Linked DNA regions of Rattus norvegicus. The protein of the gene in region 4 purifies or fractionates together with the protein of the main gene of each other region. This does not show direct contact. Links are inferred from orthologs where the notes say so. Each region holds a gene or a part of one and is shown on either strand. Other genes may lie near its edges.

Region 1 (3,974 bases), about 110 Mb from region 4:
CGGCCTGTCAACGCAACCCTGGCTGCAGAGAATGAGTTCTGCCCAGTCTGCATCACCTTCACCACCAGCATCTGTGCCGGCTACTGTCCTAGCATGGTGAGCTGACCAAATGGGTATGGACATCACTTCCGCCCTACAGTGCTGCTAGCAGTCCTACAGGTGGGGGCAGTGGGGTACAGGGAGATGGCACCTGGGCAGGGATCACAGCTACTGTGGGGGCAGGACCAGGTGGGCATTCTGCCTAGAATGGCTGCAGGGGGTGGGGAGGGGGCGCAGCACAGGGGAGGGACACTCAGATGAGGACTTTCTCCACCCTGCACTCAGGTTCGAGTACTGCCAGCTGCCTTGCCTCCCGTGCCTCAGCCAGTGTGCACCTACCGTGAGCTGCGCTTCGCCTCTGTCCGCCTCCCTGGCTGCCCACCTGGTGTAGACCCCATAGTCTCCTTTCCTGTGGCCCTCAGCTGCCGCTGTGGGCCCTGCCGTCTCAGTAGCTCTGACTGTGGGGGTCCCAGGACTCAACCAATGACCTGTGACCTTCCCCACCTCCCCGGCCTTCTCCTCTTCTGATGCCCACCCACTAACTCCCCATTCTTCTGGAGCCAGCAGGTGTTCTAACCATCCCTCCCAATAAAGGCTTTACAACTGCACTCCGATGTCCTTTTGTGTGATCTGAGGATACAGCAGAACTCCAGTTTTCAATAATTTTATACAAAGTCACAGTGTTAGAACTTGTAGAAAACAGGCTGGGAAGGGTTGGGGTGCAGTGTCAGCTCAGGAGGTGTCCATTGTTTCACCTTCTGCAGAGAGGGGAAGCCAAATGTGAGGGAGCTCCTGGGTGCTCCCATGCAGCCCCTCCCACAGTGGCAGCAGCCTGGGATACTCACTGAGCTCATTGAAGAGGAAGGCGTCCTGGTATTCCTTCATGTACTGTGTGGAGCGGGATTCATCCAGGAAGAGGGAGTATACGCGCTTGATGTCGTCCACCTGCACCTCCGTGCCCTGAGAGCAGGTGGGGCTCAGCTGATGTCAGCACGGGGCCACCCCCACCACTAGGTTTTTTTCTCTAAAATGCCCGGGCACCGGCTGTGGTTCTTAGTCCCCACTAAATATCCATGTACCATGGCTCAAGGGCTACCCCAGGGCCACCCCTCAGTCCTCCAGGCTAACTCGCTGGCTGACCTTTCGTTTCCGGCACACCAGGCTGGCCGCTGTGATGAGCTGGATGGCGTAGCGCAGGGAGGTCTCGAGCCCAATGCGGGTCAGCACTGTGTAGGCGTCCTCACTCATCTCCACATCTTCCTCCTCACAGCTGTGGGAAGGCAGGCCAAAACGGCAGGCATATCACCCACCCATCCCATAATATGCATGGATACTGGGGTCTCGGAACCACGGATGGTGAGGCTAAAAGAGCCACGGGCACAGGAGGGCCTCCCACCCCATCTTTCCCGACTCAGTGTGGGGCAGATGCCACACCGGATACGTAGGATCTGTTTGGTGTCCTTCTCACTGTAGGGCGATGTTGACACAATGAGCAGCCGGTCTAGCAGGTCAATGGGGATGCCGTGGGGACTTTGGTAGCTGGTGCCTCGGATCCTGGGGGTCAGGGAAAACTGTTAATGGATGCTTTTCAAAAACATACGTGCCACCATAGCCCACTTGGGAACTCAGTAACTGTGAGCACTGGCTCTCATCCCCAGTAACACACTTCTCGGCAGCTGTGCACACTAGCGGCTGTCCTGTGCCCTGCTGCCCTGGCAAACCCAGTTCCTGGTGAGCAATGGGACCCATGGCAGTTTGTTCCAGGCATGGGAGCTTAGCCATCGATATGAGAGTACTGTTCTCCAGGGGCTGGCTCAGGACAGCTGCCAGATCTAACCTACCACTCATGGACTTTCAGGGACTGGGGAATTGCAGTGAACATCAACTAGCAAAGGGGACCTTAGGGCTGCCTCCCCTCCCCCCTGCTACCTTCACATCTATGGCCTTGGGCAAGCTGCTCAGCTTTGCTGATCTACTCTGTGAAGTGGGAGTAGTGGGGAGAATGAAGTGCAGGCAAGGTAGCCAGGTCCCAGCCTCTTAGGGCTGTGTGCCATCCGCCTTCACCACAGCTACACCTAACTGCAGTTGCAGGGGGCCTGAAAACTTGTGTCATCTGTGGGTACCACATGCATGTGTACACACACACAGACACACACATAAAAGTAAGTCAGAGAAGAAAGAGGGGCTGGAGGGATGGTTAGAATACATACTGTTCTTACAGAGGAGCCCAGGGAGAGTCCCAGGACCTGCACCAGGCAGCTCACAACTGCTTCTAAGTCTAGCTGCAGGGGACCTGCCATACTATTTTGGATTCTGCCCACACCTACATTCATACCTGCATATACTGCCTCCCCCACATTCAAACAACAACAACAACAACAACAACAACAACAACAACAACAAAGACGCCATGCTAAAAACACGAGACAAGGTGATGTGCTTGATGAAGTCATGAGCCATCGTCAGGAAAAGTCTGGCTATCCAAACCAGTTTGTATACTCTCTTATCTACAAAGGGTCTCATGAAGCCCAGGTTGACCTAGAACTGAGTCCTTTCTCAGCCTCCATATTACCAGGACTGTGGTTGGAGCTGACATGCCCAGTGTCCACAGTGTCTTTAGGTCAATACATGTGGTCTGTGACGATTAAGTGGCGGGGTCTGAGTGACGGACTGATCACAGCAGTTTGTGACATATCTAATAGATAGCCCCGTGCTCAGCATAGGGTAAACTTCCCAGGGCCCTTTGGGTGCCTGCTCCAACAAGTTTAAATCCAACTTGAAGAGATTTTCTATCTGTCCAGGATTGTGAGGACCACACTGGAGGCAAGCTGAGTAAGGAGAGGAACTCAGCAGATGGTCATTCACCTTGAGGCCACCATCAACCCCTGGCCCAGAGTGCCCTTGCTGCAGAGGCCTCTAAAGCTGCTCACCGGGTGATGCCTCGGTTGGTGGCCATGATAAGAACAGGCGCCATGTCACTCTCCAGGGCCCGGTTTAGGAAAGAGAAACTCTCAATGTCCAGCATGTGGACCTCATCGATGAACAGCACCTGGAAGCCATTAGGGCACAGATCAAGCTCTCTCCACCTGGTACCTCAGGGCTAACCATACCCTCCTGGGCTGCGGCCACTCACCCCAGGGATGATCTCCGCTTTGCCCTCCTCCCTCCACTCTGCCACCTTGGCATTGATCTGTTCTCGGACTTCTGACTTGATCTCCCCTGTGTCTCCTGCCAGAGATGGGGGTGTCAGTTAGAATTAGAGATTGAGCCCAGGACCGGGGTGGGTGAAGAGAGAGACAGAGGAGCACTGGGGAGGAGGGCTCTGGGCTGCAGCAGCAGGGCCAGAAAGGACAGAGGGAGTGACCCGAGGGAGGACTCGAGGGCAGTGTAGGGAAGGACACACTCAGACGGGGAACAGAGACAAGCAGCAAGTCTGTAAAGAAAGCTAACAGCGCCAAGAAAGAGGCAGAAAAGCTGGGGGTGGGGGTGAGCCACGCTGAGGGAGACAAAGGATGTACCAGAGCATTCAAGGTGTTGGGGGAAGGGCAGCTGACCTGAGAAGAGAGCCAAGAAGCCCTGAGTGCGGGAGTTGATGACGTCAATCTCATGGAGGGACACGGTGTGCACCACCTCCTTGCGTTTTTGCAGCTCTCCGTCTGGGCACTGCACAAACTTGGTCTACAGGGTCAACGGCAGGTGTGAGGGCAGCCAGGACACAGCCTGGAGCCCCACACTGGGAGGTAACCCAGCATCCAACCCCATGACATAACAGAAGATGGAGAAACACTCCAGTGCTGGGTTGGGGATGAGCCAAGCACCTGGGAGCCCATGGCATCATAGTCTCGGGCACGTGTGAAAGAGCGGCCCAGCTTGGAAATCTTGCCAGTGGCCTTGTCGATGGTGATCACGTCCCTGAAGGAGCAACAGCAAAGAGT
Region 2 (4,507 bases), about 120 Mb from region 4:
TCACATTAACAGCAGCAATCCAATTAGTGGCTTTATAGGACAGGAATTTACAAGAGCAGTCTCTCCTTCAAAGTTTACAATTAAGAAATTAGTACCTCCATTTGCAAACAAAGAAACTGGAGGCAGGCAGGAGGGGAAAAAACAGCTTTCTTGTTAGCCAAACCTTGCAGCCATGGTGGGTCATGTCTGTCATCCTAGAGCTGGGAGACAGAGGCTGAGGCATGCATTGGAGGACAGCCTGGACTACCCAATTCAATCCTGTTTCCAAAAAAAAAAAAAAAAAAAAAAAAAAAAAAAAAAAAAAAAATATATATACACACACACACACACACACACACACACACATATGCTGCAAGCGTGGCTCCACAGTGCTTGACAAGCAGTAAGCAGCTCTGGACTCTATCCCCTGACCTGCATAAAATGAGTGTTAGCACAGACCTGCAATCCCATCATTCTGGAGAGGGAGGTGGGAAGGTCAAAGTTCAATCACCCTTAGCCATACACAATCTGTGCTACATAAGACCATTTTATGTAAAAAAAAAAAAAGGGGGGGGGGCTAGAGAGATGGCTCAGTGGTTAAGAGCACTGTCTGCTCTTCAGAGGTCCTGAGTACAAATCTCAGCAACCACATGGTGGCTCACAACCAACCATCTGTAATTGAATCCAATGCCCTTTTCTGGTGTGTCAGCAACAGGATACTCATATACATTAAATAAATATTAAAAAAATAAATAAAAGGCTTAGCCTTTTCAGAAAAACGGTGGGCCAGAAACTTTGCCTGACCCTCCAGGTGCCCTGACCTCCAGGCCCCACCATCTGACCCTTATCCTGGAAGGTTCTAGGTTCTGACTTTGGCCCTGACTAAAGAGCAAGCTCTTTCCAGGTCTCAGTGCTGCCTTCATAATCATCATGGATTTAAGAGGGCTCACCCTCACCAGGCACTGTTCATGTGTGATGTCACTCAGTCTCTGGCAGACCCTGGGCCACTGCTCTTGTCAGTCATTCTGGGGAAGGGGGGTTCTGAGGCTCAGGGGATCCAGGCAACTTCTCAGCAGTTTGTAAAAGACAGCAAATGAGAAAATCAGAATTTGATCAAGCTAGCCTTTCTTTTTCCCCTTTTATTTTTATAACGAAATAGGGTTTCACCATGCAGTTCAAGCCCCCCTAGAATGGCTACTCTATGGTCCAGCCTTGGCCTCTAAGCGCTAGGCTCACAGCTGCATACAGCCACACCGGGTTTCTTAACCACTTCTGAATGGCCACACTGCTCCAACTTTCCCATTCCTGCTGTGATCTCACCACAGTGGACATCGGGTTGCTGCCAGGGTCCACTGGACTCTTCCTGTCCTCAGCACCAGTTCCAAGAAGTTCAGAACCTTAAACAAACCACCCGGCCCTGGCAGGCTCCCCAAGTCAAATCTAAATTAACCTTGGTCTCTTTGATAATTACTAGTCAAACTGGCATTTATGGCGAGCTCTCAGTGTATCATTTCCTGCAACCAAGTCCCCGCCCTCACATACATCAAAGCTACTAGCTGCCCACTCTGCTGCCCACAGCCTGGCAGTAGTGTCTGTCTGCTCCCAGACAAGCAGGTTAGCTTCTACGGAACATGGCCAGTGGGCGACCTCACTTCACAGGCTCCACCCAAGCAAAACACAATTCAGCTCAGAAACGGGATTAGCCTGAGTCCGTCTCCTCCGAAACCTTTCATCTTTCCTAGCCATCAAAGCCAATGCACACCTCCAAGTGCCCGTCCAGTTCTACCTCCCCACCAACCTTCTCCAACAGGCCTAGATCTTAGATCTTCCCATCTCCCAACGGCTTCTGTTGACCAGAAACACCTGAGTAGGTAATATTCCCCAGTCCTTCCCCAGGAAGACCCTGGTAAAAGTGGGCTCCACGTTCTGCTGCTGAACCTTACTGAGGAATTCCTCGCATACAGGCAAACTGACCACCTCGCCCTCTGCTTCTCAGCCTGCTGCCTCCGACCCTCTTTTCCCAGTCGGAGGGTTTACCAACTTCTTGTACAGTCTGGGTTTATTTCCCGTTCTCATTCCAGCCAGAAAAGCAATGGCCATAGCCGGCTACCCTTTGCGTCCTGGTTTACAGACCAGCTGGTTCTGCTCTCACCGCCCCGTGGACTCACTTACCTTTCCCCCAATACTATAGACGGGTTCTTTTCATCTATTCCTGCCTGGGTGTACCATGAACTCAAAGGCTGGCTGCCAGCCTCCCAAACTCCCAGACAAGGTTAGGGTTTGAAAACCCAATCCTGTGCACCTTTCCAACTCTCCCGCCAACACCACTGCCTCCAGCTCTAACCTAGGAACCGCTGAAACCACCGATAAGTGACATTTACCGCGGGCCACCTCCGTAGGAGTCGGCGCTCTGGCGGTCCCACCCGCCCCTAGGCTCTCTCCCGCAACCCTAGCCACAGCTACCGTGTCTCCAGGGGTCTTTGGGCTCCACAGCTCCGGACACGATGTCTTCGTCCGACGGGAACGTGACACGCTTGGCCGCAGCTTTAAGGCGCCCATCGGTTGGGGGCGAAGCTCCGCTGGAAGACCCAGCTTCGGCTGGGGCCTCCTCGGCCTCGGCATCTGCGTCGGCGTCCGCGCCCGGCCCGGGCGGAGCCTCCTGCGGCGGGATCTCCATCGCCGCCACCGCCTCCTCCTCCTCACGGGGGCCCCGGGGACATGCCCCGGGCCCCGGACTCGTCTCTCCGGGTCCTCCCGCCGTTCCGGGGCATGGGCTTGGCCGCTGCCTCAAGCGCCGCCTCCGTCTGCTCCGTTCGTCGTCGTCGTCGCCGCCGCCGCCGCCGGGAGCCCCAACGCGCCTCCGCCGAGCTCCGCGAGTACCTGCTCTTCCGCAGCCACACTTTCGCTACAAGCTAAGGCGCCCGCTGCGTACCGAGAAAAGCATAACCCCGACTCGAGATTTTGTTCTGAAAAAAATAATCTTTTCGAGGGCGACACGAAGACGGGAACAAAGAACAGTTGACTCCACGGGAAAGAGAAACGTGAGCAGCGAATCTGCAGAGCCAGAACTGCAGAACACAGAGGCGGGGCCTATGATCGCTGTCTCCCCCGAGCGCCGCGCATGCGCGAGTTTCAGCCGCTGCCGCTGCCGCCGCCGCCCCCTAACCCCCCCGCCCTCAGCCCAGCTGTCAACACTTAGGCTCCCGCACATTCGTCACAAGTCCAAGTAATTCGGGAAAGAATTCACTAGAAATCCTTTCACCGCGGTCTGCAAAAGCGCTGCGTCAGCGGTAAAAGTCGTCTTGAGCTCGATACCAGAGACTCACGTAAAATGCAAGAATTGCCGCCACAAAATTGTCCGCTGATTTCTACACACGCGTCCACAAAAAAAAAAAAAAAAAAAAAAAAAAAAAAAAAAACTTAAAATATAAAATAAGGATCAGAGTCCTTAATTTAAAAACTACCTGCTGGACAGGGTAGTGACACGCCTGTGATCCTAGCCTCGGAGAGGCTGAAGGCGGAGGTTGTGAATTCGAGGTCAGACTGGATTACATATGGAGCCTCAGACAAGCAGGTGCTACAGAGTGAGACCCAGGCGGGGCTAAGCCAAGTACTGGGAGCAGGGTAAAGTGATGGAGGTGTTGAAAAGCCAAGAGAGCCGAGCTGAATATAGGATGAGTACGTGCAGGTGACAGAAGCGACAGAAGAGCAGACTTTAGCTTCACTGTCTCGTCAAAATTGTATCAAATGTAAATGCTGGGTATTCATGAACCTGATTAAAAAACAAACTGGGAGCGGAATTCCAAAAGCTCGAGATTAATCAGCTGACCAAACCCGAGCGAACCCAGGCCACACCTCCAAGGGATCGATTTCATAGCTCGGATTCATCTCGGCACTTTCGCTTTCCCTTCTTATTAAGGGTCAACCCTTTGGTGCAAGGGACTGAAATGGTAGAACTGGACTTGATTGAACTGGACTAGAGAGCTGGGCTGGGGCTGGAGAGAGGCAGCGGTGTGAACTGATAGCAACTAAGGCTACTGCTCAGGGTAACTGTTTCCCTCTTCACATTGTGGATTAGCACACTTTTGAGACTGAGAATTACCAAAAGCCCCCTATAATTAATGCAAGCCTTCACTTACATTCTGAACTTCAATAAAAGGCATTAACTAGGTTTTCTTGTTTGGTTGGTTGGTTTGGTTTTACTGGTTCTCACGTAACCCAGGCTGCCCTCTGACTTACCATGTAGGCAAGACTGGCTTTATTATCTCTGGCTCTCCTACCTCTACACCCCATTCCCCACCCCAAGGGCTAGGATTACAGGCTTAGGGCATTGTGCTCAGCTAGGAACTGCTTTTGGATATCATCTACTGAAAGATTTCTAGTGACAAGGGACTGAAACAGGTGACACAGACTTTCTCACTAGGAGGTGGAGCAAACTGAGGAAGGGTAAATCTTCAATGCTAACCACCAACCTGCAGCATTTGCTCCCGGGCTGTCACACAAATTCGAACACCACCACCACTCCCTG
Region 3 (3,740 bases), on a different chromosome or scaffold from region 4:
CTTGGGAGGGCAGAGGGGAAGGGCACTGAAAACAGTCTGTTTGGGGGAGGGGGGATTTCTGGCTCTCTCTCTGGCCTGCTTTTGTGGGTGCCCTGTGGCCTCCTCTCCATCCCTACACAGTGTTTGCCCAGACTTTGCTCTCTCTCCTTGTCTGTTCACAAGCAGTTGCATGTTTAGGGACTCTTCTGTATGCTGGGCATCCCTTGGCTCGTCTAAACCTTTCCGTTGTCATCCAATCCTGAGTCAGGAGTGCCCATCTGACTTCATGATTGTTTGTTTTTAAATACCTCTGCCTCACAGCAGTGAAAGATAGAGACCCGAATTCTGCCTTACTTACCTCGTTGCCATGGCAAAGTCTCTTTTTTGGGGTGTGTGTGTGTGTGTGTGTGTGTGTGTGTGTGCTTATTTTTAAAGTCAAGGTCTCTATGTAGATCAGGCTAGCCCCAGACTGGTCACCTGATTCCATCTGAATGTCAGCTTTTACTCTCTTGTATTTCATGTGCATTGCTGTTTTTGCCTGGGTGAGGGTGTCTGAGCCTCTGGAACTGGCGTTGTAGACAGTTGTGAGTCGCCATGTGGGTGCTGAGAATTGAACCCAGGTCCTCTGGAAAGAGCAGCCAGTGCTCTTAACCACTGAGCCATCTCTCCAACTCCTCACCCCTTTCTTTTTTTTTGTTTTGTTTTTTTAAGATTTATTCATTTATTATATATAAGTACACACTGTAGCTGTCTTCAGATACCAGAAGAGGGCATCAGATCTCTTTACAGATGGTTGTGAGCCACCATGTGGTTGCTGGGAATTGAACTCAGGACCTCTGGAAGAGTAATCGGGTGCTCTTAACCGCTGAGCCATCTCTCCAGCCCACCCCTTTCTTTTTTTAGACAGAGTTTGATCTGCATGGAAGGCTAGCCTGGAATTTGGTGTAATCCTCCTGCCTCATCTTCTCTCTCTCTCTCTCTCTCTCTCTCTCTCAAAAATTATTTTTTTTCAAGTTTATTTATTTACTCTATATAAGTACACTGTTGCTGTCTTCAGACACACCAGAAGAGGACATCAGATCCCATTACAGATGGTTGTGAGCCACTATGTGGTTGCTGGGATTTGAACTCAGGACCTCTGGAAGAGCAGTCACTGCTCTTAACCGCTGAGCCATCTCTCCAGCCCTCTTGAACGCTGAAATCGCTGCCTCGAGGCACCACACCTGGGGTGCAGAGAGACACCTGACATAACACACTGTGAAGGTCAAAGGTTCCAGAGAGGCCTGGCTACAATCGCTCTCACAGCCCAGCCAGTGTTTTGCAAGCCTGTGTACGTGTACACTGCAAGTATGCCTGGAGCCTGCAGAGGTCCCGGAACTACAGTTACAGATGGTTGTGAGTGCTGGGAACTGAACACAGGTCCTCTGCAAGAGCAGCGAGTGCTCTTAACCACTGAGTCATCTTCCCAGCCTCTAAGTGTTGTTTTGAATGATGCCATTAGACGGAATAATCAAGATGTAAAGGAAAGCCGAACCCCAAATGGATGGAAGGGAAGGTCTGCGGGGCACCTAAGCCCAGCCCCGCTCCACTTGCCTCTGGTCTCTCAGCCCTCCCTGGATCCCCTAGTGATGAACTTGCCTCCTCTCCCCTCTCTTCCTACTCTCAGCTCAAGATCTCCTTTAGTGAGACAGCACTGGAGACCACATACCAATACCCTTCCGAGAGCTCGGTACTGGAGGATCTAGGCCCGGAGCCTGAGGCCCCCACTGCCCCCTTAGCAACGCAGCCTGACGATGACGAGGAGGAGGAAGAGGAGGAGTTGCTTCTGCAGCCCGGGCTCCAGGGCGGGCTGTGCACCAAGGCCCTAATCGTGGGTAAGCGGCTGCGGCGTGGTTGGCGTAGGGCGCCCCCTGGTGTTCATGGCTTTGTGGTACTTTGAAGGAGCTTGGTCCAATTTGCTACATCTGCTGATTCCTGAAAGCCAGCACACTTGGAGTCTCCAGATTTCAAAACCAGAGCTCGCTCGTTATCCAGATCTCTAATCTGGTTAAAAATACCCGTGTTGGGTCAGGCGGCATGGAGTCAGAATTCCAGCTCGTCTGTTACTTAGTTGTGATCCTGAATCAATCCGAGCTCGGTTTCCGTTTACCTTATGTGTGGCGTGCGCGCCTGCACTCCCAGATCCCAGAGCATGCTAGGCGGGTGCTCTGCCGCCGATCGGTATCCCCAGTTTTCATTTATCATCCTTTAAAATAAAGTTAACAGTTGTGTGCTGGGCCTCCGGGTGTGTAGCTCAGCGATAAGATTGCTGCCTTGAGCTGAGAAAAGTGACTCATGCCTGTAATCCTATCACTAAAGCGGGGGTAGATCCGCCTAGTCTACACAGTGAGTTCCAGGGCACCCTGGACTATTACAGATCGAGACCCCATCTGAAACGAACAAACAAAAAGGTTGTGTACCCCGCCTTAATTGATAATAGCAAGTACTTTTTTTTTTTTTTTTTTTTTTTTTTTTGGTTCTTTTTTTCGGAGCTGGGGACCGAACCCAGGGCCTTGCGCTTCCTAGGCAAGCGCTCTACCACTGAGCTAAATCCCCAACCCCAAGCAAGTACTTCTTGAAGTTGTTTGAAGACTTGAGTAGATTTTTGTAAAGCACCTAGGTATACATAGCTAGGTATTAAATTACTTCACCTTTGCTGAGACGATTGTGAAATTAAACAAGATGCTCAGCACAGAATCCAGTTAACCGTGATGATGACCACTGTTCCACAGCCAACATGTTACAAAGACTTCTCTTATACCAGCCACTCTTCGGTTCTGGGGATGCGTGGGGAGGCGGAGGCCCTCTCCGCTTCTCTGGATTGATTACCTCTTTTCCTGCAGATGAGTCCTGCCGGCGGTGACCATCTTCGAGTTTGGGCATATACCTCTCTCCTTCTCGCACCTGAAGATTCTGGAGCTTGGATGATTCAGAGCCGACAGACATGGCAGTGAGCCCGCCTGGCAGGGAAGGGCGACAAGCGAGCGAATTCGGACTTGCTTTTCCCATCCTGTTCCTGGGGCGGAGCCGGTAGCCTAAATTGACCCCTAACCCAAAGTTCCCGGTGGGCGGAGCATCCTCGGTGAGCTAAGAGTGAGCATCAAGTCCTGGGTTGGAATTCAGAATTTATCTGGAATTGAGATGGAGCACCTCCAGCCTCACAGCCTTCCTTAAAGCTCAGCCACTCTCCGGGGATCCCGCTCCATCCACGAACACCCCCTTTTCTAGGTCACTACCCCTTTGTTTACAGCTTCCCTCTTGATCACAGCCTGGTTTACATACCCACTAGCTCCCAATCCCACCTGCAGAGTCCCAGGTTTACAAGCCATGCCTACCCGCGGAGCCCCTGTGGGATCCTCCACCTTCCCTTTGTTTCATTGTGAGTGACTTGGGAAGGTGTGTAACCTTCTTCAGCTTTGCTCAGTATTACTGTGCCTCGGTTTCCCCCAAGAGGGCAGGCTGGGGATCCTAATCCTGAACCCCATGAAAATTATTTAATTCTGTTCCTCCACGTGGTTCACATTGAATTGAATTGCAGTGTGGGGGGCGCTCAGGAGGCGCCTCGCTTCTCCCCATTGCTCCTTGGTCAGCTGCCTGGTTTGTTTCGTTTTTTGTAACTTTCCGTAATAAAATGGAGCTCTTTTCAACTCTCTTGCTGTCTTCCTTTTCTTTGTTTCTTCTTCTTTTTTTTTTAAGATTTTGTTTATTTCATGTATATGAAT
Region 4 (4,469 bases):
ATGGCGCCAGCGTTGTCAAACTCGCCACAGTAGTTGGGAGCTGAGAAGAGTGTCACCAGCTGCCTCTTGGCAAAGAACTCATAGCCATCTTCTACAACCTGGGCAAGGACAGGAACCATTTGGTCTCTTAAGTTAAGCAGCTAGCCATCCCCACAGCCTGCCCCAGGCCACTAGCCCACCTGATGTGCTCTGCAGATGAGGTCCAAATCATGCTTGTGCAGGAACTTGGCTACAACCTCGGCCCCAAAGGTAAAGGAGACTCCACGGTCATTCTCGCCCCAGCCTTGAACATCCTTGTCAGGGTCAGACCACAGCAGATCACACAACAGGCCCTGGTCAGGCACGTCCGTGGGCCGCATAATACGTCTAATCTGCTCCATGGATTGCAAGTCTGGAGACAGGCCTGGGGTGGTAGAGTGAGAATAGTGTTCCTTACACCGAAAAGCAGGTACTATCCCATGCCCAGAAAGGTCTCAGGGGTCAGCTCCACTTTCCCCACCAACGCTGGGTTCATCTTTTGGGCTCCTTAAGTTTAGGGAAACAGAGTTCATTATATTCCTGCTGGCCCCATTTCTCTATGTGGCCTTGGCTGTCTGGGAACTCCCTTTGTTTTTTTTGTTTTTGTTTTTGTTTTTTTTTTTTTAGGAATATGTTTTTTCAGTTTTTTTTTTATTGGATATTTTATGTATTAACATTTTTTTTTCCCGGAGCTGGGGACCGAACCTAGGGCCTTGTGCTTGCTAGGCAAGCACTCTACCACTGAGCTAAATCCCCAACCCAGGGAACTCCCTTTGTATGCCACCGCCACCTGGCCATCCCTCAGCTTTTAGAAGTACAAAGAGTACGGGCTGGAGAGATGGCTCAGCGGTTAAGAGCACCCGACTGCTCTTCCAGAGGTCATGAGTTCAATTCCCAGCAACCACATGGTGGCTCACAACCATCTATAAAGAGATCTGGTGTATCTGAAGACAGCTACAGTGTACTCATATATAATAAATAAAATAAATATTTAAAAAAAAAAAAAAGAGTAGACCTCCGTGGGGGAAGGAGATGAATGAGTTGCCTATAGCATGCTAAATACCACAACAGGAAAGCGCAGTCGAACTGGGGTGTGTAGCCAGGTGAGGTGGTGCAGGCCTTTAGTCCCATCACTTGGAAGGCAGAGATAACCAGAACTCTTGTGAGTTCCAGAACACAGAAAAACCCTGTCTCAAAAACAAACTGGGCTGTGGGTGACCTGTAATAAGTGACAGCCAAATTCAAGGAGAGCTACTCCAGGAAACAGGAGAGTTCTGTTAACTTTCCAAGGCCCCTAAGGATATAGCCCAAGCACAGACCCCACAACCATCCTGACCTCCGTGGCAGCAGAAGATCTTCTCATCTACAATGGCTGCAATGGGCAGGCAGTTGAAGCAGTCGGTGAAAGTCTTCCACAGTTTGATGTTGTATCGTCTCTTGCCTGCACAGAAGAAAATGGCTCGTAGGGAAGACCACCCACCACACAAAACCCAGTCTATAGTTTTCTGTGCACTCCTCCAGGGTACTTTGTGGGTTACTCTGACAAAGTGCAAAGACTAGAAGGCAAAGAAAGCTTATTACAGTTTCCTTGCTCTGCCCTCATCTACCTTCCAGAATTCCAACACCTGGGTCCACAAGAACCTGAACTCCAGTCTGGCCTAACCTCAGTGTCTGGTTTATTCATAACATGCACCCTAAATGCTTAGTAAGGGATGCAATAGAGGGAAGTGTCATCGGGCAGGGCTGTGGAGGAAGCTTTAGCAAACGGGCAGCCCTGCATGTACATCCATTCACCAGGCCCTTCCTTGGTGCCATGGATAACAGACAGCTTGGTTGGGGCTTTGCAGGACCCATCATCAGGGTTCTCAGCACTAGAACAATTTAGGGGGCCCATGAAGTGCAGGAAATGTAGTTCTGGGCAACCAGCAACATTCAAAGCACTCACATTCATCATAGAAGCCATAGATGCGGTTGATGCTGGCACACTCATGGTTCCCACGTAGTAGAAAGAAATTCTCCGGGTATTTGATCTTATAGGCCAGCAACAAGCAGATGGTCTCCAAAGACTGCTTTCCCCGATCCACATAGTCCCCCAAGAAGAGGTAGTTGCTCTCTGGAGGGAAGCCACCATACTCGAACAGCCGTAGAAGGTCATAGTACTGGCCATGGATGTCACCTGGGAACCAGAGAAGACTAGGTAGGTCCAAGATGTAAACTTGAACCCAGGGCCAGCAACGGAAACACAGGTACTGGGGCAGGAGTAAGGGGCTATTTTGAGGAAGCTAAGGGGTTCTGAGCAAGGGCTTACCACAGATCTTGAGAGGCGCCTCAAGCTCCAGAAGAATAGGCTGGCTCAGGAAAATCTCCCGGGATTTGAGGCAAAGACCACGGATCTCGTTCTCTGTCAGCTGCACATTCTTTCCAGGCCGTGAGCCCTGCACTGGGTACGGAATAGGGTCTTGGGACCCTGACCTCGCAGACCGAATGTCATGCGCCCCTCCCCAACACCAGCAACTGTTGCAAGGGAGCCCCCGCTGAAACCTTTGCATCAGGCCTTCAAAGGCAAGATACGACCCCTTAGCCACCCGGAGGCCCTCCAGAGACACGCCTGTGCTCAGCAGCCTGTCAACCGAAGCTTCCTCGCCTCAGAACCCCTTCCCAGCTAGCTTCGCAGGAGTCTCACCCTGAGTCTCGGCCACTCAAGCGTCCCCGGCCTCGGAGCGCGCTCCAAAGCCTAGGCGCAGGGAGTAGGGAGGGCTGCCGTGGCCATAGAACCTCACGGCCTGTCCCCGCCCAAGCGACGCTAGCCCCCGAGAGCGGCGGGCCCGCCCGCGCTCTACTTCCGGACGGCGATGGGCCCAGGCTCGGCGCGCGCGCACCTTCCCTACCCCTACCCACCTTCCAGCAGGCGCCCGATGATGGAATCCAGGTTGAGCTTCTCGCTGTCGGACATGGCGGCGCCGCCGCTCCGGCCCACCAGCTCCGGGCCCTCTCCTGCCTCCCGCCCTCTTGCAGCCTCCTTCCGGCCTGGCTCTCCTTCCGCCCTCCCCAGCCCGCCCTCGGCCCGCCGCCCCGCCTCTTCGGCCGGCCGCCCCGCCCTGCCGCGTCCGTAGTTCCCTGCTCTCTAGCGCCTCCCCTGGACCGGAAGCACTGCAGCCGGGGAGGGCCTCGGGCGGCCGGGCGAGGCCTGGCAGGGGTGGAGGGCGGGGTTTGTAGGGCGGAGTTGGGTCGGCTCCACCCAGGAGGAATCGCCCTGCTGCGTTCTGATGAGTTAGAACCGGAAGTACTGTAGAAATTGTTTTTCTCTTTCCAAGTCTCTTCCCACCCCAGCCCTGCGTGGGATTGTGGTGTGAGCATGTTAATCGCTGACTTCTCAAACACTGTAAAGTAATTCCTCGAAGTGCAGAAAAAGGAACTAAGGCTCAATGACACTGAGAGTGAGCTCCAAACCTCCAGAGCCTCACATTCACCTCGGTCTTTATGGCCAGACCCATGAACACCTGCTACTGAACTCGAAGCAATGTTTTGGTCCAGGTTGCCTTGGTGCCTGCTACGTCAGGTTTTTTTTTTCGTTAAGTGATGTAATACTATTTTATCTCCTTCCTGTTGTAAGTCCTTTGTAGAATGCTTGGACTTGTCTAGCATGTGCAAGGCCTGAGGTTTTATCTCCGGCTCTGGAAGGAAAGTAAAGAAAGAAAAGGGGGGAAAGGTATTATTTTTAAACAGTAACACATTAAAGAACCCAATGTATCATAAACCTGTAATTCCAGTGCCTGAAATTCCAGCACTCAGGAGTCTGGACACAGGAGGATCAGAAGTTCAGGGTCATGCTCAACTACATAGTGAGTTCATCTCCTGCCTGGGCTACGTGAGACCCTTGTTCCCAGACTGTACCCTTTCACTCTCAAAAAAGAAAACCCAGGACAGTGGGTTGGAGTGGTGGGACGACATTAAAGCATAATTATTACTGGAACCATGAGTTGGTTTTACACGCAAGTAACCTCAAAACCGATAGTGGCCTGTCATCTTCAACTTGGGCAAGTCGGGGACTCTTCACACCTCCCATCCGTGATGGGAGGAGTCCGTGGCTCAGGCACTAAGGCAAGCAGGAAGAACCTCATAGAGGAAGGGGGGAGTCCCCCCACCAGGGAGGGGCCCCCAATAGGCTGCTGAAGCTGAGACTGAGGAGGAAGTGAGAGGAGGAGGTGAGGTGCAGCAAGGAGGTGAGCTGGGCTAGGGGCCAGGCCTGGGGTGGGTCTCTACACAGAGACTTGGTCTTTGTGGTACCTCAGGGACTACCTGACTCCCCCGTGACTGAGGACTGGTTCCTGGAACCCCAGCCTCAGTCTGGCTGTTCACACTGGCTCTCTATATGTCTTGCAGCCTGTGACACTGGGGTCTAGGGCAGAATGGCCCAGGCCCTGGGAGAGGACTTGTTGCTACCGTCAGAA
Region 5 (3,740 bases), on a different chromosome or scaffold from region 4:
CTCTGTCCACTCTAGACCATTCTCTTTATTTGCATAAAGAGGCATGGCAGCTCCCAGAGCCACTGAGCTGAGAGAAGATGAGGCAGTGGCAGGTCTCAGAGGAAAGAGAGAGCCATGTGAAGAAGAGTGTGAGCTGAGGAAAGGCAGAGGATAAGAAAAAGAATGGACCATGTCAGGTAATGGCTATGGGAGGTGAGTGAAGGACTCTGGAGGCGGGGCTTAGGACTCTGGAGGAGGGGACATCTTGATCCAGGAACATCTTTTAAGTCAAATGCAAACAATTGCAGGGTTTCCCCCCTCCACTTCGGAGGAAAGCGTTCTTTAGTGTTGGATTCATAAGTCATTTGTAAGGAGCAAAAAGCAGGTTCGAACGAGACAGGCACCACGCACAACACACAGGGAGCTCACCTCATCATCTATCATGTCCAGGCTCTGGGGGAGCAGCAACAAAAGAACCGAGAAGAAGAATGTTAAAGAAATGGGACACACAACACCCACGTGCACGCTCTACAACATTAGAATCAAGCCTAGCCAGGAAAACACGTCCAGAAACATTTAAAGGGAAAAAGGCTTATTTTCTATAATTCATGTTACAAAGAATTAAGAACAATTATTTCATATGTAAGAAAAACACTCTAATTACATTATTTCCTGCCCCGACTCCCACTTATTTTTAGAACTAAATCAATTCCAACCTAGTTTTCCGCTTATCACCTGCATACATACTTCCTGGTAATTCTTAGCAATGCTAATCTTCACTTTAGCCTCTGAATAAATGATTCTAACTCTATTTCCTTTCCAGAACCATGCCTATTGATGGTAATGATTCAACAGGGGGCATATCATAGCCAGAAAACTCTCAGAGTCCGGGGGGTATGGGTGACTCTGTAAGGAGAGAGAGAGCAGATAACTTACAGCTTCCAGGTGACCTAAACTGTTTGTCTAGTCTTGATCTCCAGTGGCCAGCCTCTAACATTAGCATTTACATATATAGTGGGATCACCGGGAAGCTTCAAGGGGCTTAGAAAGTGTTCTGTAATGTTAAGGCAAGGTGAATGGAATCATGGGGATTTTGTGTTAAACATAAAACCTCAGTGCTGATGCCTTCTGTGCCGAAGCTTCCCCCGAACGTCATCTTCCCACAGAGGGATATGGAGGAAGTAAAGGACATAGGAACTAAGTTTTGCCATGGTGCCACTACAGTACCTCATCTGAGGACAGTGCCAAGGACTGGGAGAGCCCTGGCGTTTTGGGTTCTGCTCCTAAGCCGCTCAGGTCTGCTGAACTGGTACTGCTTGGACTGAAGTCATCATTGAAGGTGAAATTCTGTTAAAAAAAAAAAAAAGAACACAACCGTATTAAATGAACACAGAGTGAACAAGCGGCAGGCGTGCTCCCAAGGCCTCAATTGCTTCATGTTAATCAGTTGTCTTCAGAAGAGACTCAAGTGTGCTTTGGGGACAACCTTCAGTCGAGCAGTGGTGAAGAAGCCTGGTTGGAAATCCTGGGCACCTTCTCCATTGATGTAAGAATAGGTGGCAGACAGCAATGATTCTCCAGTTTTTCTCCAAGGGTTCAGAATTCGTTACCCTCTGCCAGTGCTCAGAGTAGTGATATTAATAGGCCCACATGCTTTGACCCTAACTGTGACGGGAAACGGTGTAAGTAGGAATACAAGATGGTGTGGAGAGGCTGAGTTATCAGGGACAGATGGCGACTCATATCAGGAAGGTAGCTGGAGAGCCCCTGGGAAAGATGCTGTGTGGCTGGCTGTGATAAACACTGTGAGAAGTGACAGGTCCCCTCCTGGATGGACCCTTCAGAGTGATGAGTTCTGGAGAAGGGCATGTCTGACAATACAACACTAGTTACATGTTGGTTTATAACTCTCTCATGGCACCAGCATACAGCAAAGAGACTGCAGGGTGGAACAGACCCAGAAGGCTGCATAACCTCTTGGGGTTAGTGAGGTGGGATGTGGGAGAAAATGAATTCCCCTGGAATTGCTTTAACATGCTCAGCAGATGTTAGAACAACTTGACAATGATCGCAGAGCCTTACTTGTGCAAACATTTTATAATGAACCTCTTTCTAGGGTAGATAATGTTAGGATCACTCAAGCGAACGTGGGTCTCAGAACAGTACTAAAGGGCCCAAAGGGTCATCATCACAAAACTTCTTTGGCTACTTGTCAAGTGGTTGGACTCCCAGGAACTCCACCTTGTTTCACACAGCATTTCTCCAGACTGTTAGTTCTGTTAGGTCCTTTTGCATTGGCTTAGTTGATTGTTGAGAATAAAGACCAGGCCAGAGACTGGGGAATTTAGTACCAAACCAACTCCAAGATTTGATAAATCTCCTAAAAAGAGGAGTGGTCATCAGAACACTCAGCAGCAAGGCTTGGTACACAAAGCATGATCGCCCTCTGGTCTGATTGCTGGAGATGCAAACCTCTAGCCCCTAGGTCAAACCCCTTCGAGCTGCTGACCTCAAGGGAAGAACTCAGTTTAAGTCAGATTAACCTCTGGCTTCTGTTTGGGAAAGAAGAGTGAACACAGGAAAGAGGAGACCAAATTCCATGAAAGTTAGCCACCACGCGTGTCAGTAAAAAGAGGAGACCAAATTCCATGAAGGTTAGCCACCACGTGTGTCAGTACGATGTTAGGTAAGCCTCGCAGTGTCATGCTGGAAATAACCATCACACACTTTGAAATGCACCACACCCACACATATACATCAAGTGCAGTTCTGCTAACACTAAAGAGAATTAGAACCAGTGCTCTGCATGGACATTTGATACAAACAGTAAGTAAGGCTATGCCAGTGGTCTTTGTTTTTCTGTTTGCTTCACTTAAATATATTGAACACAGTCAGTCCCAAATTTATCTGCTTTTCCAGTAAATCTTGAAGAGCACAGTGAAATCATTTCATAATGCAATTTAAAGAAGAATACTTAGTAAATATCTTCCAACACTGTTTCACCATCCAAATGTCTCTTTCCCAGCATGGCTTAACTGTCAAAAAGATTAAATAGCAGGAAGTGAAATGACAGGTAAATCGAAGAGAAAAGCACACACTAAAACAGAACGGTATTAAAGAGGGTGCCGGTTAGGTGGGGCTTTCTTTCCCCACAAGGAAACACCATGCATGCCTAGGACAATGTTAGCACACACACAGGTCGAGAAGGCTTTCCGAAAACTGAAGAGGGGACAGGATTGGGGCTTTCTTGTCAGCTTTTACAGTCCACTGTAGTCTACCTTGGACCCTGTTTTATCTGAAATTTGAGTCTCAGGAGAAGGCGGGAGGGGATTTGGAGCTGAAGGCAGGTTCCTGAAGGAATAGGATCCTTTCCGACTTTCATTAAACCATGAGAAAGGCATGCAAGGAGAGGGGGCGGAGGCCTGAACTGTAGAGGCTGGTTTGGCTTTCCAGTTCTCCAACTTGCTTCTGAAGATTCTGTGGGGTGAAAAGAACAGGTATGTTAGACAAATAAATGACAAAAGACATACTAAGCCCAGTCCTAGCAAGACTCTTGGTATAGGTAAAACTCTCTGAAAAACTGCTCTACCACAGTGATAAAAATGTATCGCTTTGGCAATGAGCATTAACCTTAATATTTGCCATTTTTTGCATTTAAATGAAATCTATGATATCACATGGATTTGAACTGATATTTCCATGCCCAAACTGTATTAAATGTGATCTTATAAGTATACTTGAGTACAATAAAATAAGGGTAC
Region 6 (4,309 bases), on a different chromosome or scaffold from region 4:
TATGTAGAAGATGACCCTAGACCCATAATGCACACTGTGTAAAAATTAACTTGAAATAGATCATAGGTCTAAAACCTGGTGTATAAAGCTTTTGGAAGAAAACATAGGAAAATATAGTTAAGACTTTGGGTTAACAAAGATGTCTTGAGTACCACATTATAGAACTACCACCAATAAAAGAAAAACCCATCAGAGAGATTTCACTGAAATATAAAACTCTCTCTCGTAGAAAGTCCCACACGGAGTCAATGGCAGGTGTCAGACTGAGACACTTTGGCAGAGAATCTATTTGATGAGTAACTGTACCCAAGTACACAGAACCTCTCAAAATGTAATCTTAAAACCCAGTTAAGAACGCGAACAGGGTTGGATAGACGGCTCAGCAGTTAAGAATACTTGCTACTCTTACAAAAAAGACCAGGGTTCAATTCCCAGCACCCATACAGTGGCTCAAAACCATCTGTAACTCCAGTCTTGGGGATCCAATACCTTCCTCTGACCTCAGAGGACACACGAGCCAGCAAAATGCCCACACACATAAAATAAAATAAAAGTGGACTTAGAGACGCTCAACATCAATCATTAGACAAGGCCAATGAAACGCACCAGTGGACACACCTGAACACTTAACAAAAAGAAACTGATTATACCAAGTGCAGCAAGCAAGACATGAGTGTGTTCACACACGGAGAAGGTGCAGTTGTGGTGCACACTTGCTTATAAATACCCTCCCCGACCCCCTCTCCCAGCTCTAGAGGTCAGTTCAAGGCCAGCCAAACACTGCAAAGCAGAAACAAAACAAATGTAAAATGGTAGAGTATACTTAGAAAACATTCTGGCATTTTCTTTAAAAGCTAAGCTCACAACCAAAGGCAATGGCTCAGAAGTCTAACCACAGGCAAGCGAGTGGAGATACAGTGGGACAGCAGGCCTGCATCTGAACTCACAAGCAATGGAGGGTGATCTTGAATTTCTAATCATCCTGCCTATACAGTGCTGGAGACTGAGCCAGGGTTTTGTTCATGAGGGCAAGAAGCAGTCCACCAACTGAGCTACCCCCCAGCCCCACTGCTACAAATACCAACAGAGTCAGACATTACATTAATGACTCCACTCAGCTCAAACTCTAGAAGAGGCAGGCAGCTACAGGGACAGAGGGCAGAGTGGAGTTTTTGAAGGAGGGGAAGCTGGGACATCGTCACTGTCAGAGAGAGACACTGGGGAGGAGGACAGATAGGCCTGTTGTGCTGGCGGTGGCAAGGGCTTCACAGACCTACACCAAAGCTTGTAAAACTGCAGTCAGGCACGCGCAGCCTAGCGCATGACAATTTTCATCTGAGCAAGCTGGCAAAACAGCTCAGCGAGCCCAGCTCACTACCAAGTCTGAGGACCTACTCAGGAGGGGAACAGGGGCTCCTACAAACTGTCCTCAGACTCAGACATTTACACAAAGCAAATAAACAAATAATACAGCGACATATTTAAAATGAGCAAATAAGTTAAGAAAAGTTATTGTACACATAAAAATAAGGAAGCTAAGATACAATAAGCTATTTTGTATTTGACAGATTCTAATACATCCAGTAATACAATCTCTTGCCTAAATGGCTAAGCTTTAACTAAGAGTCCGACACCACTATGCCTAACCTATTCGCCAATGGCATTTCCATAGCAGAGCTGCATATGTTAAAAATCCATTCAACTCTATTAAAGAAAAATAACAAGAAATTCTTACTCTACTTTTCTGACTATCTACCCAATAAAGGAAGTCTAATTTTTTACAATATATACTTATATTTGAAAGGATCATTTTATTTTGACTAGTTTTCCAATAATAAAACTACTATACTTAATGATAAATTTGATTTAGCACTCAGAAGCCAATGATAATCAAGCAGAAAGACAATGTAAACATCTATTTGAATAAAATATGGAAGAGAGTGGCTACAACTTCCCTCTTGTTATAACCTGTATCTACATCTACATCTACATTTTTCCCCTAAAACAGAGTAAAATCTGAGTGCTTAGTGAAGTGAACTACAATGCATAAACCTGGACAGCTCTAAAATTAATTATTTTGAGCATGATGATAAAACCTGAATGTATAAAACATACAAACAACTAAAACCAACCTCCATCTGACATTAGGACCGGGAAATGAATGGTATTGGTGCCGAGACACTCCAGGCAACTGTCCAAGTCTAGGTAGCCAGTAGGCACATAAACCCAAGACACCAAAACATCACAAGGGTGCCCAACCACAATAATGTCTACAGCGGTGACACAAATGTCCTGGGGCACAGAGGTCCTGCACAAAGCAGGTCACATGCCAGACCCCCTCCAAAACCACTCCCATTCTCTCACACAGATGAATCTGAGTCTCCACGTAAAACACGAGGTCCTCCAGAAGGCACAGCTCCGTCTTCAGTGGGATGAAGCGAAAGGAAGGGGACTAGTTTCTCTGACTAAAACGAAGGCATGAAGACCTATCGCCTTCTCCTCACTATGTCTAGCATGGGATCGGGCATGCTGTGGGAGCTCAAAGGTGTCTGTAATCATTCTTGTTCACCATCCAGCACAGAGGGGACCGAGAGGCTGTGTGCAGAGGACTCCCTTCTGAGGACAGCAATAGATCCAAAGTCCTTGGTGCATTCCCTGACCAACAAGAAAGAAGCTGGGTCACGTGTGCTCTAAGGGTGAGTAGTAACTGAAGGAAACACAGTCAGGAGACAGCAGAAGTATTGTAAGACAGGCACCTGCAGCATGAGCAGCAGAGGCATCGCTGAGCTGCAGGCCACTGAGTCAGGATTTTATGCGGGGCAACCACAGGACAGAAAACCAACAGCGCTTTAAGCTTCCTTGGCTATGGACGGTCATGCCTACTTTAACTTAAAAACGGTTTTAGTGAGAAAGGAAAAGAACTTCCCCACCTCTAGGTGGCTCCTGTTGCTCCTCTCCACTGGGCTCAGATGGCATCTGGTGATGAATATCACACTCTGCCAGGACACGTGGGCATCCTTAGACCTTGCCCTCCTCTGCCTGCGGCAGTTTCCCCAACCTCCGTGGACATCTGGCACTGGGCAGTCACATCATCTGTCTGGCCCACAACTGTGTCACACTGTAAAACATCAGGCACAGCAGAATTCACATTTCCATTCTGTAACCCTGCGCTAATAAAACAGTTGTTTCAATGCTGAAGCTAGAAAAGTGGAATGTGCAACACTAATTAAAAGGTGTCTAATTAGCATGCATTTTCTACAAACCACAGACGGATTGTTTTTACCTGATGCTAAAAGTTTGTTCCAGATCACTCACAAAACTGGAACACAGAAAGGCTAGTTTGGCTTTTCTGACACAAGTATCACAGAGATGAGGACTATTAAGAAAGACGTAAATGCCTTGTGGGTGTGCTGGTGCCCGAGTGCTTCAATCCCAGCATCCAGTAGATCTCTGAGAGTTTGAGGACAGCCTGGTCTATACGGTGAGACCGTTTCAAACAAAGGCATACATGAGAAATGGACACTGTACCACTTTATCCCCTGAGCACCGCTGTGCATACCAGGGACTGGAGAGTAAAGCAGGCACTATCTATTGCTCATGGGGGGGTGAACAATAAAATATAGTACAATTATAAATTGTGGCAAATTAAGGATGATTGTCCTTATGGAAGAAATAAGTTGGGTCTAACAGACGTGAAAACGGTGACCTTCTCAGAGAAGACTTCCATGAGAAAGAATTCTGCAGCTAGTACTCACAGATGAGAGGTTACTCAGCAGCTGGGATAAGGGCCCTGGGGCCAGTCTGCTGGAGAACTGGTCTATATGCTGGGGGATGTGGGTGAGGGGCTGGGGCCTTAAGGAACAGGACAGGAAGGCCTGCTGGAGATTCTGTACCTTACTCCAAGGATTCTTGGGAATCTAGAAGGCCCGTAGAAAAATTGACTTTCTTTTTCGGGCTATCAGCAAGAAAACAAACAGGAAGGGGCAAAGGAGACCAGGGGACTTAAGAGAGGTCAGAGTAGCTTGAACTAACCAACACGACGGCAGAGACTGAAAATCAGACAAGTTTCTGAGATATTTTGTGGTCAACTGTTTTGGAGGGCTGATGGACAGAATGCAATGAGCAAGACACCTTGCTGGGATAGAGGAGTTCAGAACAGGAAAGGGAGAGTTTGCCAGTCTGGACAGCACAGACTAAGTGTGGAGAAGAAATGGGAGCTGCTGCCATTGTAGACAAAGAGGGGCCAGGCACATCTTAGGTGCCTGTCCGTCATGGCTTTCCAGCTAACAGTAGTATCCCCATTTTAAAG
Region 7 (4,260 bases), on a different chromosome or scaffold from region 4:
ACTCAGAGATCTACCCACTTTGCCTCCAGAGTGGTGCTAGAATCAAATGCCTCTCTCTCTCTCTCTCTCTCTCTCTCTCTCTCTATATATATATATATATATATATATATATATATATATATATATATATATATATATATATATATACATATACACTGTCACTGTCTTTGGACACACCAGAAGAGGGCATCGGATCTCTTTACAGATGGTTGTGAGCCACCATGTGGTTGCTGGGAATTGAACTCAGGACCTCTGGAAGAGCAGTCAGTGCTCTTAACCACTTAGCCATCTCTCCAGCCCCTCAAACTCTCTCATTCCCCATGCCCACATCCCCTTACTTTGCACCCACAGCTCTTAGCCAACTGTAGCAACCACAGCCCCTCAGCCCTGGTCTACAGGGCATATGGTGGGTTCAGTGATCGGTGCCCTTGGCCAAAACTTGTCTTTCCAAGTCAGGATCAGCCTAAGTTTCCATACCAGAACCGGTCATGATCTGTAGACCTCAGTCAGACTCACATCAGGACAGAATGGAGGGTACAGTCCGCATCTAGATTTCCAACGACAGCCCTTGCCAGTTGCGATGGTACAAGCTTTCAATCCCAGCACTGCGGAGGCAGAGGCAGGGCATGCTCTGCGCTGTTGAGACCTGGTTTACATTCTAACTTTCAAGGCAGCACGAGTAGCCCACCACATACACACTTGTTTGTCGATTGTCTATATGCCTATATGTCCATTTTTTCCTTCTAGTTTTTAGGATTTTAATCATGTGTGTGGGTCTGCATGTGGGTTTAGACATACCCAGAGGCCAGAGGCCCCAGATCCTCTGGAGCTGGAGTTACAGATGGCTGGGGGCGCTGGAATCCGATTTCTCATACAAAGTGCAAATATATTAATAAAAACTTATATAAAAAGGGAAACTGAGGCACATGAACCTGGCTTTTCATCATCGGGCTCCCCCTTTCTTTCTTTCCTTTTCTTTTTCGAGACAGGATGTCCCTGGCTATAGACCAGGCTCGCCTCAAACTCATCGACTGCTTGCCTCGGTCCGGGATTAAAGGCGTGAACTACAGCCAAGTTTTCTTTTGCAAACGCCTAGTGGGAAAATACTAAGGCAGGTCAAGTATCGCGCGATCTTCCCGTGTGCGATCTCGCGCAGACACCGCCGCGGTAAATGCTGGGATTGCCCACCGCTCAACCTATCCTGGAAAGTTGGTGTATTCCGGCGATCACCTAAACCAAACCTGGGCGGGGCCTTCTCCGCATTCCGCGCAGGCGCACTGTGCTGGGGGCGTGCACTTTATGCTGTCCCGCGCAGGCTCAGTCCTGGTAGGTCTACGAGCGCGCGTGCAGAGTTGTTTGTGAAGTGCGACAACATGGACGACGAGGAGGAAACGTATCGGCTGTGGAAGATCCGCAAGACTATCATGCAGGCGAGTTGCATGGGGAGGTTTTGAGCGAGCGCTGAGCTGTGGACTAACTGCGGTTGTCTGTCCGCTCAGCCCAGCCTCCAATGGGGGCTAATCCTCTTGCTTCAGCCTCCCAGGTAATAGGATGCATCCCCTCTTAAAGTGTGGAGTCCACCCACCTCAGTTGTTGGCAATCCTCCTGCTTCAGCCTCCTCCCCCTGCCCCAGAGGAAAAGTCCTAGCTGGACTCTCTGCTTCGGAAACGGGATACATGGCTGCTACACGGTCACACCTGGTTTACGGGGTGTTGGGAACGAATGGTTTCCTCAGTACTAGGGAGCCTCACCATCGACACCCACATGGTAGTTCACAACCATCTGTAACCCCAGTTCCAGGGCATCTGTGGCCCTTTTCTGGTCTCTTGGACACACGTAGGATTAAAAGAAGCTATTTAAAAAAATAAAACAAGCCGGCATGACGGCGCACGCCTTTAATCCCAGCACTCTGGAGTTAGAAAGAGGCGGATCTCTGAGTTAGAGGTCAGCCTGGTCTACATGGTAATTTCCCGGATAGACAGGGTCACATTCACGCAGAGAAACCCTGTCTGGAAAGAAAAGGGAAAAAAGGAAGACATTTTGGTTGTTCGAGTTGAGTAGATAAGACCCCAGTGGAGAAAGAGGTATTAATAGTTTTAATTTATGCTGTGTTGGGTGGAGCCCAGGACCTGATCTAGGCCTCCTCAGGCCTGTTCTCAGCCCTCATTAGGAGGGTCCAAGACAGGAAGGTTGCCAGGTCATTGACCCCAGCCTTCTCTGGTGAGGCTGGAGGGAAGGGAGGAGGCTTGGCTGGGGCCTCTGTAGTCTCAGCCTATGCAGAATTTGGGTACTGCGGGTCAGTCAGTGTTAGTCCCCAGCTGTCCTCTAGCTGAGTACTCTTCTCTCTCTACAGCTGTGTCATGACCGAGGCTACCTGGTGACCCAGGATGAGCTGGACCAGACACTTGAAGAGTTCAAGGCACAGTTTGGGGACAAGCCCAGCGAAGGACGGCCGAGGCGCACAGACCTCACCGTGCTGGTGGCCCACAACGATGATCCCACAGACCAGATGTTTGTCTTCTTCCCAGGTGAGGGTCCTTGGGCTGGCAGTAGTGGCATCCTCTGGGGGCCTCCAGTTCTGGTGGCAGCTGCCTGCTTTGTCCCTGTCTTCCCCTGGGAAGCTTCCATTTCACCGGTGTCCTTTTTGCCCCTGAGTCCGCAGACCAGTGCTCAGTCCCCCTGCTCCTGTTGCTGTAGTCTACAGTTGCTGTCTGAGGCCCAGGCGGCTCTCGGAGGTTTGTGGTGCTCTGCAGCTCCTCCAGTCTCCGCAGGCAGCTTGTTTCCTTTAATACCTGATGTTGATGCCTGGGGCCTGGGGTTTTAGTGTGAGAATTGGGGGTGCAGGGATGGGCATGGTAGCATGTGTTTATAAATCCAGGAGGCGGAGGCAGGCAGCCGAGGCCAGCCTGGGCTACACAGTGACTTCTAGGACAGCCAGAACTATGTAAGGCAGTGGCTGTCAGCCTTCCCGACAATGGGACTCTCCATGTTGTGGTGACCTACAGCCATAAAATTTTCATTGCTGCTTCCTAACTAATTTTGCCACTGTTATCATAATGTAAAAAGGTGTGTAGAGTCTGGATAAGGTCCGATAATTTGCAGACTAGGTGACTAGGTGACCTGGACCTGCTCTTGTGCTCTGCGTCCTAATGCTCCAGTAAACCCCACTCTGCCTGAGGAGAGAAGGCTTAGCCCCATGTTAGACACAGGGTCCACCTCCTGGTCAGACAGTTTCTCCTTGAGGCTGCCCAAGCTGACAATACCATATTCCACAAATCTCAGAGCTGCTGAGAATTTCACCCCCTGGATCAGGAGGGGCGGACAGTGCAGCTTTCTTCCGCCATGGCTGCCCCGTGATAGCCCCACCGCGGCTGGCTTTGCGTTCTGGTCTTCCTTTGTGAGTGGAGAAGCTAAGTCCACAGGCAGCAGGACATCAGGGACTCTAGTGGTGGGTGTGAGGGTCACACTTGTGTGCCTGCAGAGGAGCCCAAGGTGGGCATCAAGACCATCAAGGTGTACTGCCAGCGCATGCAGGAGGAGAACATCACACGGGCGCTGATCGTGGTGCAGCAGGGCATGACACCCTCCGCCAAGCAGTCCCTGGTAGACATGGCCCCTAAGTACGTGCTAGAACAGTTTCTACAGCAGGAGCTGCTCATCAATATCACAGAACATGAGGTGCGTGTGTCCCAGGGAAGGTCTGGGTGGCATGGCGTGGTCTGGACAGGATACGGGAGGGCCCTGGATCTTCCCAGTCTCAGGCCGTGCCATTCATAAGCTGGGCAGGGTCGTTCCCCAGTTTTAGTGCAGTGGCCTTGAGCATCCAACTTGGTGATATTAGTAGCCTGGTTGTGTCCTCTGTCCCAGCCCTGTGGCAGTACCCATTAGCCTGTTGAGTCTGTCGGTTTCTGATGGCCGCGGGTGGGTCTCTGTTTCCACAGCTAGTCCCTGAGCACGTGGTCATGACCAAGGAGGAGGTGACGGAACTGCTGGCGCGATAGTATCCTTTTTTTTTTTTTTTTTTTTTTACGTGTGAGGCTATATGCCCATATGCACAAAGTAGCCTCTTTTTTTTTTTTTTTTTTAAGATTTATTTTATTTATTATATATGAGTACACTGTAGCTGTCTCCAGATACACCAGAAGGGGGCATCAGATCTCTTTACAGATGGTTGTGAGCCACCATGTGGTTGCTGGGAATTGAACTCATGACCTCTGGAAGAGCAGTCGGGTGCTCTTAACCGCTGAGCCATCTCTCCAG

Evidence for each region.
Region 1: the proteins of Ppp1ca (region 4) and Ruvbl2 purify together in Homo sapiens (affinity purification with mass spectrometry; 4 studies listed by BioGRID and IntAct, with this or other methods). This does not show direct contact. The link is inferred for Rattus norvegicus from reciprocal best matches to the Homo sapiens genes PPP1CA and RUVBL2.
Region 2: the proteins of Ppp1ca (region 4) and Ppp1r37 purify together in Homo sapiens (affinity purification with mass spectrometry; 3 studies listed by BioGRID and IntAct, counting the BioPlex papers as one, with this or other methods). This does not show direct contact. The link is inferred for Rattus norvegicus from reciprocal best matches to the Homo sapiens genes PPP1CA and PPP1R37.
Region 3: the proteins of Ppp1ca (region 4) and Ppp1r18 purify together in Homo sapiens (affinity purification with mass spectrometry; 5 studies listed by BioGRID and IntAct, counting the BioPlex papers as one, with this or other methods). This does not show direct contact. The link is inferred for Rattus norvegicus from reciprocal best matches to the Homo sapiens genes PPP1CA and PPP1R18.
Region 5: the proteins of Ppp1ca (region 4) and Ppp1r9a purify together in Homo sapiens (affinity purification with mass spectrometry; 3 studies listed by BioGRID and IntAct, counting the BioPlex papers as one, with this or other methods). This does not show direct contact. The link is inferred for Rattus norvegicus from reciprocal best matches to the Homo sapiens genes PPP1CA and PPP1R9A.
Region 6: the proteins of Ppp1ca (region 4) and Rassf8 purify together in Homo sapiens (affinity purification with mass spectrometry; 3 studies listed by BioGRID and IntAct, counting the BioPlex papers as one, with this or other methods). This does not show direct contact. The link is inferred for Rattus norvegicus from reciprocal best matches to the Homo sapiens genes PPP1CA and RASSF8.
Region 7: the proteins of Ppp1ca (region 4) and Polr2e purify together in Homo sapiens (affinity purification with mass spectrometry; 5 studies listed by BioGRID and IntAct, counting the BioPlex papers as one, with this or other methods). This does not show direct contact. The link is inferred for Rattus norvegicus from reciprocal best matches to the Homo sapiens genes PPP1CA and POLR2E.

What each region holds. Positions count from the first base shown.
Region 1 is NC_086019.1:105,037,800-105,041,773, forward strand, and holds the end of Ruvbl2 (ruvB-like 2), read right to left. Parts: intron 3,952-3,974; coding exon 3,858-3,951; intron 3,718-3,857; coding exon 3,594-3,717; intron 3,268-3,593; coding exon 3,173-3,267; intron 3,089-3,172; coding exon 2,970-3,088; intron 1,594-2,969; coding exon 1,474-1,593; intron 1,310-1,473; coding exon 1,180-1,309; intron 1,000-1,179; coding exon 885-999; coding exon of another isoform or gene 798-884; coding exon 772-797; 3' UTR 688-771; downstream 1-687. Other genes in the region: Lhb (lutropin subunit beta isoform 1 precursor), read left to right, coding at 1-96, 325-567. UniProt on the Homo sapiens protein: Possesses single-stranded DNA-stimulated ATPase and ATP-dependent DNA helicase (5' to 3') activity; hexamerization is thought to be critical for ATP hydrolysis and adjacent subunits in the ring-like structure contribute to the ATPase activity.
Region 2 is NC_086019.1:88,337,568-88,342,074, forward strand, and holds the start of Ppp1r37 (protein phosphatase 1 regulatory subunit 37), read right to left. Parts: upstream 3,026-4,507; 5' UTR 2,657-3,025; coding exon 2,443-2,656; intron 1-2,442. UniProt on the Homo sapiens protein: Inhibits phosphatase activity of protein phosphatase 1 (PP1) complexes.
Region 3 is NC_086038.1:2,882,299-2,886,038, reverse strand, and holds the end of Ppp1r18 (phostensin), read left to right. Parts: intron 1-1,645; coding exon 1,646-1,853; intron 1,854-2,861; coding exon 2,862-2,881; 3' UTR 2,882-3,669; downstream 3,670-3,740.
Region 4 is NC_086019.1:210,913,146-210,917,614, reverse strand, and holds the start of Ppp1ca (serine/threonine-protein phosphatase PP1-alpha catalytic subunit), read right to left. Parts: upstream 3,040-4,469; 5' UTR 2,972-3,039; coding exon 2,917-2,971; intron 2,459-2,916; coding exon 2,327-2,458; intron 2,195-2,326; coding exon 1,964-2,194; intron 1,460-1,963; coding exon 1,355-1,459; intron 404-1,354; coding exon 180-403; intron 99-179; coding exon 1-98. Other genes in the region: Tbc1d10c (carabin), read left to right, coding at 4,428-4,469. UniProt on the Homo sapiens protein: Protein phosphatase that associates with over 200 regulatory proteins to form highly specific holoenzymes which dephosphorylate hundreds of biological targets.
Region 5 is NC_086022.1:34,247,127-34,250,866, reverse strand, and holds part of Ppp1r9a (neurabin-1), read right to left. Parts: intron 3,457-3,740; coding exon 3,258-3,456; intron 1,327-3,257; coding exon 1,207-1,326; intron 433-1,206; coding exon 409-432; intron 1-408. UniProt on the Homo sapiens protein: Binds to actin filaments (F-actin) and shows cross-linking activity. Binds along the sides of the F-actin. May be involved in neurite formation. Inhibits protein phosphatase 1-alpha activity.
Region 6 is NC_086022.1:180,449,450-180,453,758, reverse strand, and holds the start of Rassf8 (ras association domain-containing protein 8), read right to left. Parts: upstream 3,013-4,309; 5' UTR 2,931-3,012; intron 1-2,930.
Region 7 is NC_086025.1:10,316,061-10,320,320, forward strand, and holds the start of Polr2e (DNA-directed RNA polymerases I, II, and III subunit RPABC1), read left to right. Parts: upstream 1-1,297; 5' UTR 1,298-1,373; coding exon 1,374-1,430; exon of another isoform or gene 1,431-1,510; coding exon of another isoform or gene 1,511-1,543; intron 1,544-2,353; coding exon 2,354-2,528; intron 2,529-3,481; coding exon 3,482-3,678; intron 3,679-3,941; coding exon 3,942-4,000; intron 4,001-4,260. UniProt on the Homo sapiens protein: DNA-dependent RNA polymerase catalyzes the transcription of DNA into RNA using the four ribonucleoside triphosphates as substrates.